Linked DNA regions of Caenorhabditis elegans. The protein of the gene in region 1 interacts with the protein of each later gene in a pairwise test. Each region holds a gene or a part of one and is shown in the gene's direction. Other genes may lie near its edges.

Region 1 (4,391 bases):
GTATGTAGGCAAACTGAGGAGTTTGCTCCAAAATGCAGAAAGTAGACTATAAGAAGGTTACCTGAAGTCAATACTTAACATTTAATAAACTGAAAATTCTTACAAATGATCTGTCATATTTGAAATCCTGTAAAACATCTCTGAAGCTATTAAATTTTTGCAATTTAAGCTATTAAAATGTTGACCCAAAACTCCCTCCAAAGTTCCCAAAAACTATAACATGTCAAGTACATAAAATGTCCTTCCCTATCCATAACCTAATGATCACCTGTCAATTCTAGTTACCTAACAACATAAAACGCGTACCGCTCTTTCTCCTCCACCCAACAGTGCGCCAGACGGATCCCTTTACAACTCTCTGGTTGGTGATGATGTAATTTGGAGCCGCCGGCTCACCGCAATACTGTCGGAGCACAAAATTCAGGAAAATGATCCTGATTGAGAACATGGTGCATGCATTAACAGATAATTTGTTTTTGAAGGGAAAATCAATAATTATCTGGAGATTAGATATCTTGTTTTTAGAGATAGTTGTAAACAATGGCAAATTGTAAAACCACTTTAGATGAACCTGGAACTTTCGGGAAATCTGGCAACCGAGCTACAAACTACAAACTACAGAAAATCAATCTACAAATGTTTTTTTCAGTCAAGAACCGAGATATCAGTTGCACATGGTGCATCGAACACTAACAAGATTAATCAAAATTTGTCACGTCCAGTATATCCGTAGTAAAAGTGAGAATTAACCTCAATGATTTATCATCCTGCCCGTGTCCTTCTTCCCGTTTATCAATATTACCGTAGTGGTGATGGTGGTGGGGGCATCGAATATCGTCGTAAAATCGTCGTTAAACAAATTTTATGAACTCTATATACAAATCAAGCGTGTTATTATTGTTTGGTAGAAAGATTGGAAAACGATAAAGAGAGGTGAACAGGTTTCCTAAAATATCCCCCCGGAGATTCATTTCTAGCAAGTATTTGGAGAAAGATGAAGAGGGACTGCACAATATTTAAATCGTTGAACCAATAAAATAATAATCACAAACTTGGAGCATTTGGAGCATTCGATGACGATTTTCTAGAAACTGGGGAAGTTATGAGGTTTTTGGATTACATTTTTGATTGGAGTATCATGAACATTTTTTAGAACTCCTTAATAATAATTCTTCAAACGACAAAGAAGTTTCAACCAAAAAATTTGTCAAAAAGTGTTTCTAACAGAAATGAAAGTATGTAGAGAGAAAGTTGGGATAAAGTAGGTTGAGAAGTATCCCACATATCTCAAAAAATATTTGGTTTATCAAAAAGTTGTCAACTGACAAATAGTCGAGCAAAATGTCAATTGAAAATTCCCTCGTATTATTGATTTTTGGGAAGTTACAGCTGTTCAAACTTTTAATTTTGTCTATTTTCACCTTTGAAACTTATTCCTTCACACAATTCCCCTTTTTAGCATCCCGCCAAACATCGAAAAACCACGCCTACCAGTGTTATCGCTACCGTACCCCGCGGTCCGCCTTCGGGAAGGCAGGAGTGGGGCCGTGGCATCCAGGTGAGACCCCAGGCTCACTCTCAGCCACCAATCTGTTTAGTATTCACTTTTACGCGAATTTTCCAATTTACCAATATTTCAGTTTTTGCCCGTTTTGATTGAATCCTTATTATAATATGAAATTCCAGAGAAAAACCATGACAGATCAAGTGTATGTGACACTTCGAGAAGATCAGGATAAGCTGTGGAACCTCTTCCATTATCATAAAAACGAGATGATTGTCACAAAATCCGGCAGGAAAATGTTCCCGAAGCTTGAGTATGTGGTCAGAGGTCTCACGCCGAACAAGCTCTACGCTATGATGCTTCATATTGAGCCATCCGACGATCATCGGTACAAGTTCAGCAGTGGAGAATGGGTCAAGTCGGGAAAAGCCGAAAAGCACAGGGAGCCAAAGAAGTTGTGGCATGCGGATGGAGTTAGAAGTGGAAAGTGAGTTTTTTTTTGGAATGCTTTGTTAGTTGATCTTTTATTAGATAGCGCAGTCAGGGTTGGAGTACCTATTTTTCAGCAGGGAATCAGAAAATAATTTCAATTTAGAACTGTAATATCTCAAAGGAAAATAAAAATACAATAGTTGCTTACTGATGAAATGTTTATTATAAAATTTTCTACAGTTTTCCAATTGACAACTTTTTTGTAATGACTGTTTCAAGCAAGTTATAACTACTTAAAAATGTAACACATCGCCAACTTGAGCATGTTAACTTCAAACTGTTATAAAACTACGGGCGGTTTAAATATCAAATATCAAATCCTTTTCAAATAAATTATCTGATTTTCTGTATATCTCCCTATAGTAACTTTTTTCCAGAGAATGGATGACCAACCCAGTTTGCTTCGATCGTGTAAAAATCACAAATTGCGCTGAATCTACAAATGCATCAATGGTAACAGCCATAATTCTTTTCTCCTTCAACCTCAGCATTTCCCAATTTCTTCCAGATTTTCCTTCACAGCATGCACAAATACACACCAGTAATGTCAATCTACGAGTCCCCATCGGAGAGCCCATTCAGCGTCCCACAACCATCGACCCGTCTTGTCACTTCTGTTCGACTCACTTATACCGAATTTATTGCAGTTACAGCGTACCAGGTAACACTTGTTTGGGATCTAGATAACTTTGCCTATTGAGCCCGCATTAACACTTGCATTAACACGTGTGGCTCTCTATGAGCCACATCTTCTGAAGGGTGCGAACACTAATTGTTTGAGGGGTATTGTTTTGGGTTTTCTGTGAAGTGAAAGGGTTTGACACAAAACAAATAGAAGAAAAGGATATTTAAATAATTGTTGCAATTTTTTATTAGAAATTAAAGTAAAATGGGTAAATATATTAATATAAATTTTTAGTCTCATTCTTGATTTATTAAGATTTCCTCAAAAACCGTAAGAGAGCTATCATGAAATTTTTGACCTATAAAATGATGTATACTTTTCAAATCTGAAATAACTTTTCTCTTAATTGAAAATATTGAAAAAACACTCAAAAATTGTCTGAAAGCTGAAAATAGCTTGAAAAAAGTTTTGATAGTTTGCCGGCAGTTTTTTACCGTTTTTCCGATTGTTGCAACTGTCTCAGGCGGTTTTAAAGACCAACAGCAAATAATTAACTGCATTATTTAATCTACAATTTTTTATTTTCTTGAAAACAGCGAGGCATCTCAGAAAGTTGTCTTTTTTCCATGGCTCAATCAAAATGTAACTCTTAAATTCAAAAACTTCCAGAACGACGCAGTAATCAAGCTGAAAATCAAGTTCAACCCATTTGCCAAAGGATTCCGAGAGGGAAGCCAATCAGACAGAAAACGAAATTCTCCATCCGCCGACGACTCTACAACAGATGAAAGCTCATCTCAAGTCTCTTCTCCTCAGCCAAAAAAGTCACGAACCGTGTCAGTATCACCTCCATTGATGCCACGGATCCTTCCAACAATGATTCCACCACCACCAGCCATCAATCCCCTTTTCTACAGTCTCCCCTACTTTTCCCATTTGGCAGCCACCGGGAACTTCCCGCCTGTACCATTCCAATTCCCATTTGGACTTCCATGCTTCTCCCCAATGTCATTTCCAACACCTCCGCCATCTTTGAAAAATGTCAAGAAAGAAGAGCAAGAGGATATTGAGCAGGAAATCAATGTAGTTTAATTGCAAAATTTAATTATTAATTTTAAATTGTTATACTTTAGTTCGGGTCACATGATCACTTTTTCTGTTAATTTTTTCTGCATAGAAGATTTTTTGTTTCTGAATTTGGACATAATCAAATAAATTTTATACGGTGTAATTATCTTCCAGACAAGTAGGCAGGCAGGCAAAAATGCTCTTCTGCGGGCATTCACAAAAAATAGGTCTTCTATTGCCCATGCCAATTTTTTGAAAAAATAACTTTAACTTTAAAAACCAGTTTTTTTGCGGCCTTTAAAATTGAGCAATTTTTCCTTTAAAAAATTTCCAAAAAACACCATGGCCGAATTTGTATTTTTCGCGGCCACGAGACTTCAATTTTTCATGGCAATGTTTTAAGAAACTTTTATGGTTTTTACAGTTTAAATTTTTTCCACCATAGAGCATAACTTGCCACGTGGCCGAAAAAAAACGGTGGCGGAGTTTCTTCAATTGGTTCTTTCTGCCACCAAGACTAAATGCGGGGCCGAGGTTTCACACGTTCTAGGCCACGCAATTTCTTTTTTGAACTGTTTTTCTTCTTTCCGTTCCTTCAATTTTCTCCGTTATGGCCTAGACTTTCTTGTGAAAAACTATAGTTCTTTCAATTTTGAAATTGCGAAAAATCGGCAAAGTCGACCTGCTCAATATGATGACGTG
Region 2 (4,080 bases), on another chromosome or scaffold:
AGCAAATTGAGCTCAAATGCCAAATTTTTCTTGTGAAAAGTTGCAATTTTCATATGAAAATTTGCCAATTTCGCACGAAAAATCGTTTTTCGGTAAATTCAACCGTAAAATTCTTAATTTTCACGTAGAATTTCTCAAGAATTCCCCAAAAAAAAACACGCACTGAGCCCTGGCTCTTCCCTGTCGATCCAACTGCACATTTGGTACACTAAGCCTGACTAATCTCGCAAATAACGATTGTTCCATATTCGAATATTTCTGGAATGCCTGATTCTGTACAACTGGCGGCAGCTGATGATGATCTCCAATCATAATCCATCGTTTCAGTCGATTGTGTCCGTCTTGTGGATTTTGTAGTAACAATGGGATAAATGTTTCAACTTCAAGAATTTGAGCGGCTTCTTCCATTACGATATTATCGTAGCGGAAGCCGAGCTTCACGAGCTCATTTCGACGGAGAGCCGCGTGTGTACAAGTCATTGCGATGATTTTTGCCTCTTTCACCTGAAAAAATCCAGGATTTTTATAATTTTCAGAGTGTTTTTGTTGTAATTTCGTCGAAAAACTCTAAAATTTTCAAATTTAACATTTCGAAATTTGAATTTTAATTATATTTTTTCTTTTTTTTGCAAAATTTTGTATATTTTATTTGAAATTTGTTGTAGGTTGTAGTTTAGGGAGCACTATATGCCTAGATTCGATATATTTTTTTGCAATTTTCAACATTTTTTCCAATATCTTATTGATCAGATAATTTTTATGTCAGTTGTTTTTTTCTTTTTTGCTTTTTTAAAAGTTTTAAGTAGGCGGGCAATTGTTGTTCGGAAAATTCGGCGAATTCCGGCAAGTTTTTACCCGTTTGCCGGAAATGTTCAATTCCGGCAATGTGCCGGTTTGAAGGAAATTTTCAGTTCCGGCAATTTGCCAGAAATTTTAAATTCCGGCAAATTTTTGCCGGTTTGCAGGAAATTTTCAATTCCGGCAAATTGCCCATTTTGCCAGAAATTTTCAGTTCCGACAATTTGCCGGAAATTTTCAATTCCGCCAATTTGCCGATTTGCCGGAAATTTTCAATTCCGGCAAATCGCCCATTTTGCCAGAAATTTTCAATTCCGGCAGTTTGCCAGTTTGCCGATTTGCCAGAAATTTTTAATTCCGCCGGTTTGCAGGAAATTTCAAATTCCAGCAATTTGTCGATTTGCCAGAAATTTTCAATTCCGGCAACTTGCAAATTTGCCGGAAATTTTTAATTCCGGCAAGTTTTTGCCGAATTGCCGGAACTGCAGTTTTTGACTGAAATTGGCTTAAAAATAAGCTTTTCAGACCAAAATTTCTACCGTAATCCAACACAAAGTACCAAAACTGCCAAATTTTGGCATTGTCCGATTTGTACGAAAAACTACAAGAATCAATCGAAAATTCGCTTTTCCGTGGAAAAACTTCACATTTTTCCAGATTTTCAGACAATTCTGAAGAACAGCCGGAAAATCTCACCCAATTCCCAGGTATCTCACCTCTCCGGTGTCACCTTTTCCCGGTCATGTCTCCCGCCAAACAAAATCGCACCTTCTCGCCTCCCCGCCTACCTAGGCAGCAATGCTCCGCCTAGATTTACAGCCTCCCCAGCTGGAGAATAGCCACTATAATTCCCCCAATTCATTCCACACAAAATGTCATCATCCAACTATAATATTAATAACGGCGGTGACTATTATCCTTTGTCTTCTTCGAATCTTAATTCAACTTCTGCTATTACTAATGCTACTGTAATGGAATATTCCACAATGCCAAGCAGCTCTCCGGGCTCAATGAGCTCATCGCCAGCCTATCCGGCGGCCTATCAGGCTCCATCACCGTGCTACGTGGCGGATCCCAATCAGCTTTACTATCAACAACAGCTGGCTCATAATGGGAATGATATGTTGTAAGTTTTTTCGATACTTTTCAGTACAAAACGGGCGTTTTAGAGTGATTTTCACTACGTTTTTCTACCGAAATGCGTGAAGAACCGCTAATTTTAATGGGGTTATTCAATTAGCGTCGGAAAATTAAAAAGTGTAGAAAAATTACGTCACAACTGTATTAAAATACATTTAAAAACATGTATTTAAATACATTTTGCAAGTAACATTTCTTGAATAACCCCATAAGTTTTGACAGTGGGAAATTACTCAAAATATAGCTTTTTCACACTATATGGCCGCGAACGGGCATTTTTAGCAAAAAAAAACTTTGTTAGCTGCTTTGTTGCAATTAACAGCTCTAAAAATTCCAATTTGAACTATTTTGGTAGCTGCAATTTTGCAATTAACAGTGTCGAAAAGTCCAATTTGCACAAATTGGGCAAATTTGGTAGCTGCTTTTTTGCAATTAACAGTGGCCAAAATTCCAAATTTAGGCAATTTTGGTAGCAGCTGCTTTTTTTGCAATTAACAGCTCCAAGAAGTCCAATTTGCACAAATTGGGCAAATTTGGTAGATTTATTGCAACTAGCAATGTCGAAAATTCCAATTTGAACTATTTCGGTAGCTGCTTTTTTGCAATTAAAAGCTCCAAAAATTCCAAATTTATGCAATTTTGGTAGCTGTTTTCCTGCAATTAGCAGTGTCGAAAAGTCCATTCTGAACTATTTTCGTAGCTGCTTCTATGCAATTAAGAGCTCTTAACAATCCAATTCAGGAAATTTTGTTTGCTACTTTTTTTGCAATTAACTGTTTTCAAAAATTTCAATTTTGAACAATTTTCGAAGCTTCTTCTTCGCAATTAGCAGTGGCCAAAATTCCAAATTTAGGCAATTTTGGTAGCTGCTTTTTTTGAAATTAACAGCTCCAAGAAGTCCAATTGCCACAAATTGGGCAAATTTGGTAGCTTCTTTTTGGCATGTTAAATTTACAGCGGCAAAAATCCCTATTTGGAAAATTTGATCACTGCTTATTTGCAACAAAATTCATCTCCGTGATCGCTTTTCTTCCGAAAATTCCTTTTTTTTTACAGAGTTCAAGCCCATGCTCAAGCCTACCAAGCTCAATGCTTCGCCTGGTTCCAGCAGCAGTACTCACAACTCTCCCCATCCTCGTTTCCTCATCCTATGGTGGCTCATCACGCTGGCTTCATCCCACCACCGCCGTCTTTTCTACATCATCAGCATCAGCAGCATCCAAGAGCTCCTTCAGAAAAGCGGAGAGGCGCTCGAACTCCGTTCTCCGATTCTCAGCTTTACGCGTTGAGAACCAGATTTGAGCAGTGCGACACAATAAAGGTTGACGAGCGACGGAAGTTGGGAGCAGTCATCGGACTTTCGCCCGAGCAGATCAAGATTTGGTTTCAGAATCGGAGATTCAAGTTGAGAAAGGAGAAATACAAGCAGATCAAGCAGGACGCTGTGCAGCAACAGAAATCGGCGAAGGAGGAGGCGGAGGAGGACCAGAAGCATGTTATTTCTTGATTTGTGTAGCTTTTTGTCACTTGTATTATTGTGTGCCCCCAATAAACGATGTTCGATTGAATTGAAGAAAAAAAACCGCGAAATTTGAATTTTCAGTGTTTTTGAACCTTTTAGAACATCAAAATTAGTAGAAATTCCACAACTTCAAAATTTTTGTCTCAAATTTACAACTCTCCGAGCATGTGTATTATAGGCGGTGTAGTCGATTTTTTTTATTGCTTCATTAGACTCAAAATTGTCTGAAAACACAGAATTTCATAATGAAACTTTTTTGAAAACTTCTCAAAAAAAAATTATGACGGCTCAAAAAATGGCCAAAAATTCGTTAAAATTTCAAATTTGACCGACGACTTGTCAATGTCGTAACGGCTGAAGGCAATTTTTTTTTTGAAATCACCGTCAAATTTTGAGTATACAATGTAATTATCTTGCGTTTTCAACTTCATTTAGGTATTTTAAAGTCCATGGACTACGGCGAGATTTGGTTTTAAAAATTTAAAAATCTCTTCGTCCATCGATTTTAAAATACCTAAATGGAGTTGAAAACTCAAGATAATCATGCTGTAAACTCAAAATTTAACGATGATTTCAAAAAAAAATGTTTCCAGTCGCTGCGGCATTGACAAGTCGGTCAA
Region 3 (3,969 bases), on another chromosome or scaffold:
GTTCCTCTTTTCCTCATAAAACCCCGGTAATGGGCCTACAGCTGTCCGTCAAAGAGAATGCAGATATTATTGTTGCTCATCGACCGTTTGTGACCGGAAATATTGCTTATTAGTTAGTGGGAAAGAGGGAAAACGATGGGACAGCATAAAATTAGATTTGTACGTTTAAGTTAACGTTTTACGGAGGTGGCCGCCAAACATAAACAGCCGGAAAACTAGAGAGGTAATACGGCAGGAAATTAAGTATTAGTAAGTTGTTAGACGTTGATAACAAACAATAGATTCGCGTTGTTCATGAATCGGTTGTGAAAAATATAACGATTGTTGACATTGTTCACTTTGCAAATATATTTTTCAGAATGATAACGATGTTTCAACATGATATTTTATTGAAAACTTTTTGAACAAATTTTCAAGCAAACATAAAGGGTCTGAAAATTTTTTACAACTATAAATATTAGTTTATAATTTTTAAAATATTTCAATATGTAAAACAAAGTTTTTTTGCTCATAATAGTCTATAAAAGAGGAACCCAGACTATTGCAAACTCGGCTACCGAAAAATACAAATTTAAACTCTAATTAAGTATAAATGCTCAAGAAATTAAAAGCTCGGAAAACGTTTACATTTTTTTAGTTCCTATAAAGCTCAAAATAAATAAAAAATTTACTTACTTAGCATTTTATTATAATTTTTAGTGTTTTGAGAATCTGATTTTTGCGGATCTGGGATTAAAAAAATTAGGTACCAGTTTAGTACACCTGGTCCAAAAATATTAAACCCCTTTTTGCCGATAATAGGCTTAAGGTTAAAGTATTTCAAAGTCTAAAAATGCAAATCTATTTCATGGTTTGAATAAATTATTATGTTTCAAAAGAAATGCATGGAAAATGTACTGGAAAATGTTTTTGTGTTAGGTATACTACACAAGTACCAAAAGATGTTACCAGTTAATCTGAACTGTACGTGTGAAGCAAGTTTAAGATCACAGCCAGGAAAATCTAAATGCAAAATGAACTATCAAAAGTAGTCACTGTTACTGAACTTTTCAGATAGTGTTTTCCATTGTGCTGATTTCAAATCAGTGATGTATCAAATATTAAAACACACACAATGTACCTATTAGACCTCATCATCTTTTAGTCAGAAAGCTGAAACATCATTCGGGCTGAAACTCATTTTTAGCTTTAGTCGCTAGTTTTTGCACGCCGAAGCAGCATGCTATTTTTGATTTTTTCTGCGGTTTTACACTAGCATAGCTAGTTATATTGAATTCTATTCAGTGCTTTTTTATCTGAAAATCATTGCTCGTTTGGATCATGTTGCATTGCGTTGTTACTCTGCTTTTAGGAAAAGCCTAGTGTGCATAGTTTGCATTCGGCAGTTTCGGGATTTGTCTGAATTGTTTTCTTCTCACCTGAATGCCTCATTTCCGAAACTTTTGCTTTTCGTCTTTTCCTCGAAGCTGCTCGTTTTCAGCTTCATCGTCCCCCATTATCACACTTGATTGGCTTCAAAAAGGTGGATTGCACGGACCACACTTCTCAATACAAAACCGCGTGGTGTCATCCATTCTATTCCCTTCTTCGACACGCCCCGCCTTCCACTTCGCATGGGCGTGACTAGACCAATCAACGAGTTTGCGACGTTTAGTGACTGCAGGCAACAGGACCCTTCCAACCCACTCATTCACACTAAACTACTGTCTAAAAGTCATTCAATTTGACTATTACAAAACTTATTGTATTGTTACATCATCTGATAAGGTTATCATAACAATGTCAATGTTGGATCTCCGTCAGTTTCTGATTCCTGCATTCTTTCTAGACCCCACCAACCAACTTGCTGCTCAGAGTTCTTCCGGTGGCGCGAAGATAAACTTAAACAGCTCTTTTCGCATTTCTGATCTGCTTGATCCAACTTCACACTCAACCAACGAACCAGGTAATCCATTTTGCCACCATTTTCCTAAAGTTATTGCATTTATTGTATGTTCGTTCAACCATCTCTAACACTTTAATCTACATAGACTTCCATGAGAATGTTGAATGTACAACTAACCTGAAAAATGATATTTAACGGATTAACGCTCCAGTAGTCACATGGACGGTAATCTGTAATAGTAATAGGTCAACCAATTATGATCCTTTGTTCTCCTCTTACCTATACAAACAGTTTTCTTTATTTATTTGTTATTGTAGATCCATCTCCTACCTCCATTAATTCCTCGGAATCGCCATCATCCCCTAGAATTGGGAGCCCGAATACCGAAAGATCTGTGAACGAGAGTCCGACATGCGTGGGATCAAAAAAGGCTCGGAAGGCGAGAACTATCTTCACCGACAAACAACTTCAAGAGCTAGAAAACACCTTTGAGAAGCAGAAGTACTTGTCTGTTCAAGATAGGATGGAGCTGGCTCATCGAATGGGGCTAACAGATACTCAAGTAAAGACATGGTATCAAAATAGAAGGTTGGTCGGCTATATTCCTTAATTAGGCAAACTTTTTTTCTTTTCTCGAAAAACAACAACGTGTGGCTCTTTGCGCCAGCAGTTGGGCGAGAATTGAGTCTAAACACGCCACTTTGTGTTAATTGTAGTGCATTAGCGAGAAGCTTCACCCCCATCGAAATTTATCTTAATCAAAGCTCTCACCCCTCCTCAATTTCTTTGCGTGCGCCCACCAATTTTATTTAGTAGTGTCATCTTTTTTCCGCGCCCTCCCCCACTCCTTTCAACCACCCCACGGGAAACGGCTCCACTGTCATTATCCAATTTTTGAGATTGGAGCTGCTACCCTGGGAGGCGCAAAAAATTTGAGAAAAAAAGTGCTTGAAATGAAAAAAAATGTTCACGGTACTTTCAGAACCAAATGGAAACGACAAGCCTCTGTTGGTATGGATCTTCTTCACGATGCTGGAAATATGGCCGCCGTTCAACAACTTCTAAGAACAAATCCATATTGGGCAAACTACTTATCACAGAACACTTCAATGTTTGGAGCTTCTAATAATCGCCCTGTATTCAATTCATTAGTCGTCCCAACTTCTTCAATGATTCCTGCTAGCAACTCTCAAAATTCTCTACTGCAATTTCTAGCATCGCAAAACGTAAAAGATGATATCAGTTCCCCAAAAGAATCACCATCAGTATCTCCTGATTCTGTAAAAAATGCATCTGTTTCTAAAAAAGAATCAGATGAGGATGAATAATACCTTTCCACCTTGAAGATTGTTTTTTTTTCGCTTAGAGTATTTATCCGGTTTTCATCACGCAAAATGTCAAATTCTCAATTTCTATTGTTTTTCTCTTCTATTTTTCCTGCTGAGCCACTTTAATTTTGCCCTCATTCTCAAAATCCGATCTCTTAATTTCTTCTGTAATGTTTCACTTTCAATGTCTTGGTTATTATAAAATAATAAAATGCAATACAGTCAACGGACGCTGGAGTGTTTTCGCTCAAGTAACAGAACATTGCGAATCATTCCAAATGACAAAATTACGGTAGCGATTTCCTCACACCAAGTGCGTCAATTAGCCTTCTCATTAATAGACAATTTTGGGGGGAAGCAAAAAGTCGTCCCGCTTCCTCTCCACCTCAAACACTCTACGTTACTCGTCAAAGTGGAGGCCTTCCAACTTTCATAGCTGAGTAGATTTTCCGTAACACCTTTACAGTTGAAGATCGTCTGCCTAGGAGTCGAATAATTCGTCAATTATAGCGACACCTTTTTCGAACAATGATGCCACCCAATTTGAGAAAGGAGGTTAGAGACGCGTCCTGTACAGTTTGTCAAAACCTCAACCTTCTTTTCATTCGTCTTGTTCAATTGTTTAGCAAGATGACAATTGTCGAAGGAGACCGCAGCCGTGTATTATTGCAATTGAGTCGACTTGTTAACGAATTATTGTTCAATCATGTCATCGTTTCAGGGGTCGTTGCGAGAATGATTTATTGAACTGGTCTT
Region 4 (3,721 bases), on another chromosome or scaffold:
TTATCTCAACTCAGGAAAGAATGGGAGGATAAAGTGAATTCGAGTGGATGTGTCGACTTGGAGAGCAATGCACCACCACCGGCACCACGCCAACAGCATCACGTACCGCCGAGTGCCGTTCGTCCGAATCCGATGCCTCCACAGAGACCCGTTGCTCAGCAGCCAGTGAGAGCTTTGTCGGCTCTTCACGCAGCACACATTGGAGATGCTCCGATTCGAATGGCGTACACTGGCCAGCCAACGGTTATTTAATTTAATTATTGTTTTTTTTTAAATGCGACTAATACTCCAGCAGGACAAATTTCCAAATTTCGTAACGAAACTGCTCAAAAAATTGACTAATTTCTGCAAAAATCTCGAATTTTGGCCACTTTTTCCCTGTCACATCGGTCCGAAATTGATTTTTTTTTGAAATTATCATCCTTCATTGCAGATTTGGGTGGTTTATCTCATGTAATTTCGCCAATTAAAGTACATTTAAAGCCGATAGGTAACCGACAGGCTTTAAATGTACCTTAATCGATGAAATTAAATGATAGGGATGATAATTCCAAAAAATTCAATTTCAGACAGATGTGACACGGAAAAAGGGAAAAATTCGAGATTTTAGCTGAAATCAGTGCAATTTTTCAAAAATTTCGCAGTTTCATTATGAAATTCGTTTTTTTTAGCCCATTTTGGGTCTATACATTCAAAATCGTCAAGAATCTTGCACGACTCCTACGTAAACCACAAAACTAAACCATCGTTTTTCAGCAACATCCATCTCAAGTTCGCATGTTCAATCCACAATTTCAAGGTGGAATTCACTTTCAACCGGGACAAGTGTTCGTTGTGCAGCAACCAAATGGTCAGAATATTCCAATGTCGATTATGCCGAATCAGATTCCACAGCATCGAATTATTCATCAAGGACAGCCACAACAGGCTCAGCAGCAGCAGCCTCAACAGGGCAATCAACTTACCCATATGAATCAAATGGACGGAAATGTGGGATCCGAATCAGACGGAGAAGGACCTAGTGGACCTGTAAAACTTGCTCCAAAAAAGACAAAGTGCTCATTGAGAGTCCGTGGAAGTGGAGCAAGTGAGAAGAAAGCGATGAAAGTCTTGGGATCACTATTGAAAGACTTTCAACTCGACGGAGGTGGCGGTGGAATGTCTGATTCTTCCAGTGAAGATGAGCCTGACGATGATGATGATCCACTTCGAAGAATCGCTGATCGCATGGGAAATGGTGAAGTTGAAGATGGAGATCAAGTGGCAGAAGAGGAACCATTGAATTCTGAAGATGATCAATCAGACGATGAAGATTTGACGATGCTATTCGAGGCGGACAATGTTGTCATGTGCCAGTTCGAGAAGGTTAATTCTATTTATTTTATAAGTTAAATTGTCGAATCTTGCAATTTTCAGGTGAATCGTGCCCGTACCAAGTGGAAGTTCCAGCTCAAGGATGGAATTATGCACATCGACAAAAAGGATTACTGCTTCCAGAAGTGTACCGGAGAAGCTGAATGGTGATTCGATCACCGATTTACAACATCTTTAACATTATTATCATTATTATTTCCAAATAATTATTCCCCCATTCTCATGTCCCCGCTAGTCCAGGATCCAATGAACAATATGCCTGAAGTGTAGTCTCATGCACTGTGATTTCCGCCCTTCCGCCCCGTTTTCATCAATTTTCCTTCATCATCAGTGATTCCCGATTCTTACATCATTTCTGTCTTAAAACTTCTTCCTTAAACCAAGGTCTGTAACATTGAATTTTACGATAATTCTCTTTGCAATATTCTCTATTTGTTTGCCGTTTATCTTTTTTTTAAAGTTCATCAACTTCATTCGTAGAATTCATCTATAAAATGTACCCCACCAATTCCTCTCCAGTTTTAGTACTTATTTATGAATGGATGAAGTTTTCAGATCTATACTTATATTGTATTCAATTGGTTTTCAAATTTTCAATATTTTTTAGGTTCAATTCCAGATGGACTTGCTGCCGGGTTTTCGAGAAGAAATTCTCAGAAAATTTATCGGTGAAGGTGGAAAAATCGTAACAACGAAGCATCTGGAACGATTTCAACTTCTAATCACGGCGATTTCAAGGTACTCACTGAAAATTAAAAACAAAAAAGGAATAAAAATATATTCTAAGAGATGGAAAGCTTATCCGAGGAGTTTTGGATCAAAAATCGAGATTCAATCGAGAATTGATGAATCGTGAGAAATACGAAACACCTTATATCGTCGAATTGCCCGGAGACCATCCAGCTGATACAGAACATGTTAGATATAGTGTTTCTTTGGTAAGAATTGGATTTAATTCTGAAAATAAATGGAAAAAATTGAATCTTAAGTGATTTTTTAATTTCTGGCAAATCAGCAAATTGCCGAAATTGAAATTTTCGGCAAATCGGCGAATTGCCGGAATTGAAATTTCCGGCAAATCAGCAAATTGCCGAAATTGAATTTTCCTCCAAACCCGGCAATTTGCCAGAATTGAACATTTTCGGCAAATAGGCAAATTGCCAGAATTGAAAACTTCTGGCCAATTGGCAATTTTCCGAATTTGCCGAACGGCAATTGCCGCCCACCAATGAATTTGGCCATAGTGGCCCCCATATTTTGAAAATATTTATATTTTAACTTTATTTTTCATTTCAGCCGCGCACAAAACGAGTAATTGCACTTCGCTATGAAAAGGAAACACCTTCAACATCTTCTGAAACAAAAACGAAGCGAATCCGGACGGCTGCTCAACTTTTAGGAGATACTGAAGATTATTGTTGTAGGGTTAGTTTTTTTGTAATTTTCCAAAATTAATATGCCAAATATATTTCAGACTTGTTTCAAACGTTTCTCTCGGAAATTCAATTTGGAACGCCACGAGGACGGGTGTTTGCCGAAGCCAATTCTTTTCCAATGCCCAATTTGTCATCAAAAGTATAAAAGAGCTCCATATTTTGCGGTAAGCATCGAATATTCTTGGTTCAACGGAAAAATTTAAATATATTTTTTTTCAGGCTCATATTCGGCAACACGAAGCTGAAGAGAAACGACAACATCGTGACGTCAAACGTCTTGCAATTGAGCATGGAAATATGGACGAAATACGACGAAAAGCTGAAGAATCTGTGAATAAACTGTCGATTCCTTATGAATTCGGAACTTTTTTATAGAATTCGAATAAAAATTTGGAATATTTAATGCTGATGTTTCCAATTTCACAACAACAAAACACGATCGTTAAAATTATTCATTTGTCGCTTAGAAACCAGCGGATCGTCGCCTAGAGACTGGCAGCCCATCGGCATTTTTCTTCCAGAATGCCTTCACTTTAAAAAAATTTCCAATGAGAAATTTGGTTTTCTCATTGGTGTTTCTAATATTTAATCTAGTGAATAATATCAATAAAGTCAACTCGCAATGTACTTCGGACACAATTCGTGAGAAATTCTATAATAAACGTCACACTGTCGCATTACGGTTTGATCTACAAAAAAATGCAGGAATTTTTTGCACAAAAATATGTGACGTCAGCACGTTATTAGCCATACGAAATCAGCTCCCGCGTTTTTTGTAGATCTATGTAGATCATACCGAGATGGAGCACTCTGACACCACTTGAAACTTTACTCACTGATTCTATTTCAGCAAGCTCATTGGCAACGTTGACTCAGTATCAAGTAGGATCTGAAGGAGATCGTAAGAACAA

What was found.
Region 2: the proteins of tbx-8 (region 1) and ceh-51 interact in a two-hybrid assay, tested with the Caenorhabditis elegans proteins (one large-scale study listed by BioGRID).
Region 3: the proteins of tbx-8 (region 1) and ceh-31 interact in a two-hybrid assay, tested with the Caenorhabditis elegans proteins (one large-scale study listed by BioGRID).
Region 4: the proteins of tbx-8 (region 1) and K11D12.12 interact in a two-hybrid assay, tested with the Caenorhabditis elegans proteins (one large-scale study listed by BioGRID).

Annotation. Positions count from the first base shown.
Region 1 is NC_003281.10:10,345,889-10,350,279, forward strand, and holds tbx-8 (T-box transcription factor tbx-8), read left to right. Parts: upstream 1-1,686; 5' UTR 1,687-1,695; coding exon 1,696-1,991; intron 1,992-2,373; coding exon 2,374-2,449; intron 2,450-2,504; coding exon 2,505-2,657; intron 2,658-3,290; coding exon 3,291-3,713; 3' UTR 3,714-3,852; downstream 3,853-4,391. UniProt on the Caenorhabditis elegans protein: Transcription factor. Involved in the control of early morphogenesis of the intestine, hypodermis and body-wall muscle. Involved in regulating expression of vab-7. Appears to have partially redundant function to tbx-9.
Region 2 is NC_003283.11:18,872,463-18,876,542, forward strand, and holds ceh-51 (Homeobox protein ceh-51), read left to right. Parts: upstream 1-1,670; coding exon 1,671-1,924; intron 1,925-2,994; coding exon 2,995-3,445; 3' UTR 3,446-3,520; downstream 3,521-4,080. Other genes in the region: emb-4 (Intron-binding protein aquarius), read right to left, coding at 164-504. UniProt on the Caenorhabditis elegans protein: Required for mesoderm development, including specification of muscle and coelomocyte precursors.
Region 3 is NC_003284.9:3,068,118-3,072,086, reverse strand, and holds ceh-31 (Homeobox protein ceh-31), read left to right. Parts: upstream 1-1,664; 5' UTR 1,665-1,779; coding exon 1,780-1,945; intron 1,946-2,202; coding exon 2,203-2,473; intron 2,474-2,530; exon of another isoform or gene 2,531-2,813; intron 2,814-2,867; coding exon 2,868-3,213; 3' UTR 3,214-3,439; downstream 3,440-3,969.
Region 4 is NC_003283.11:5,050,280-5,054,000, forward strand, and holds K11D12.12 (C2H2-type domain-containing protein), read left to right. Parts: upstream 1-1,981; 5' UTR 1,982-1,993; coding exon 1,994-2,112; intron 2,113-2,161; coding exon 2,162-2,312; intron 2,313-2,670; coding exon 2,671-2,799; intron 2,800-2,848; coding exon 2,849-2,974; intron 2,975-3,029; coding exon 3,030-3,185; 3' UTR 3,186-3,211; downstream 3,212-3,721. Other genes in the region: pqn-51 (Prion-like-(Q/N-rich)-domain-bearing protein), read left to right, coding at 1-243, 757-1,365, 1,417-1,524; cwp-4 (Coexpressed With Polycystins), read left to right, coding at 3,359-3,452, 3,661-3,711.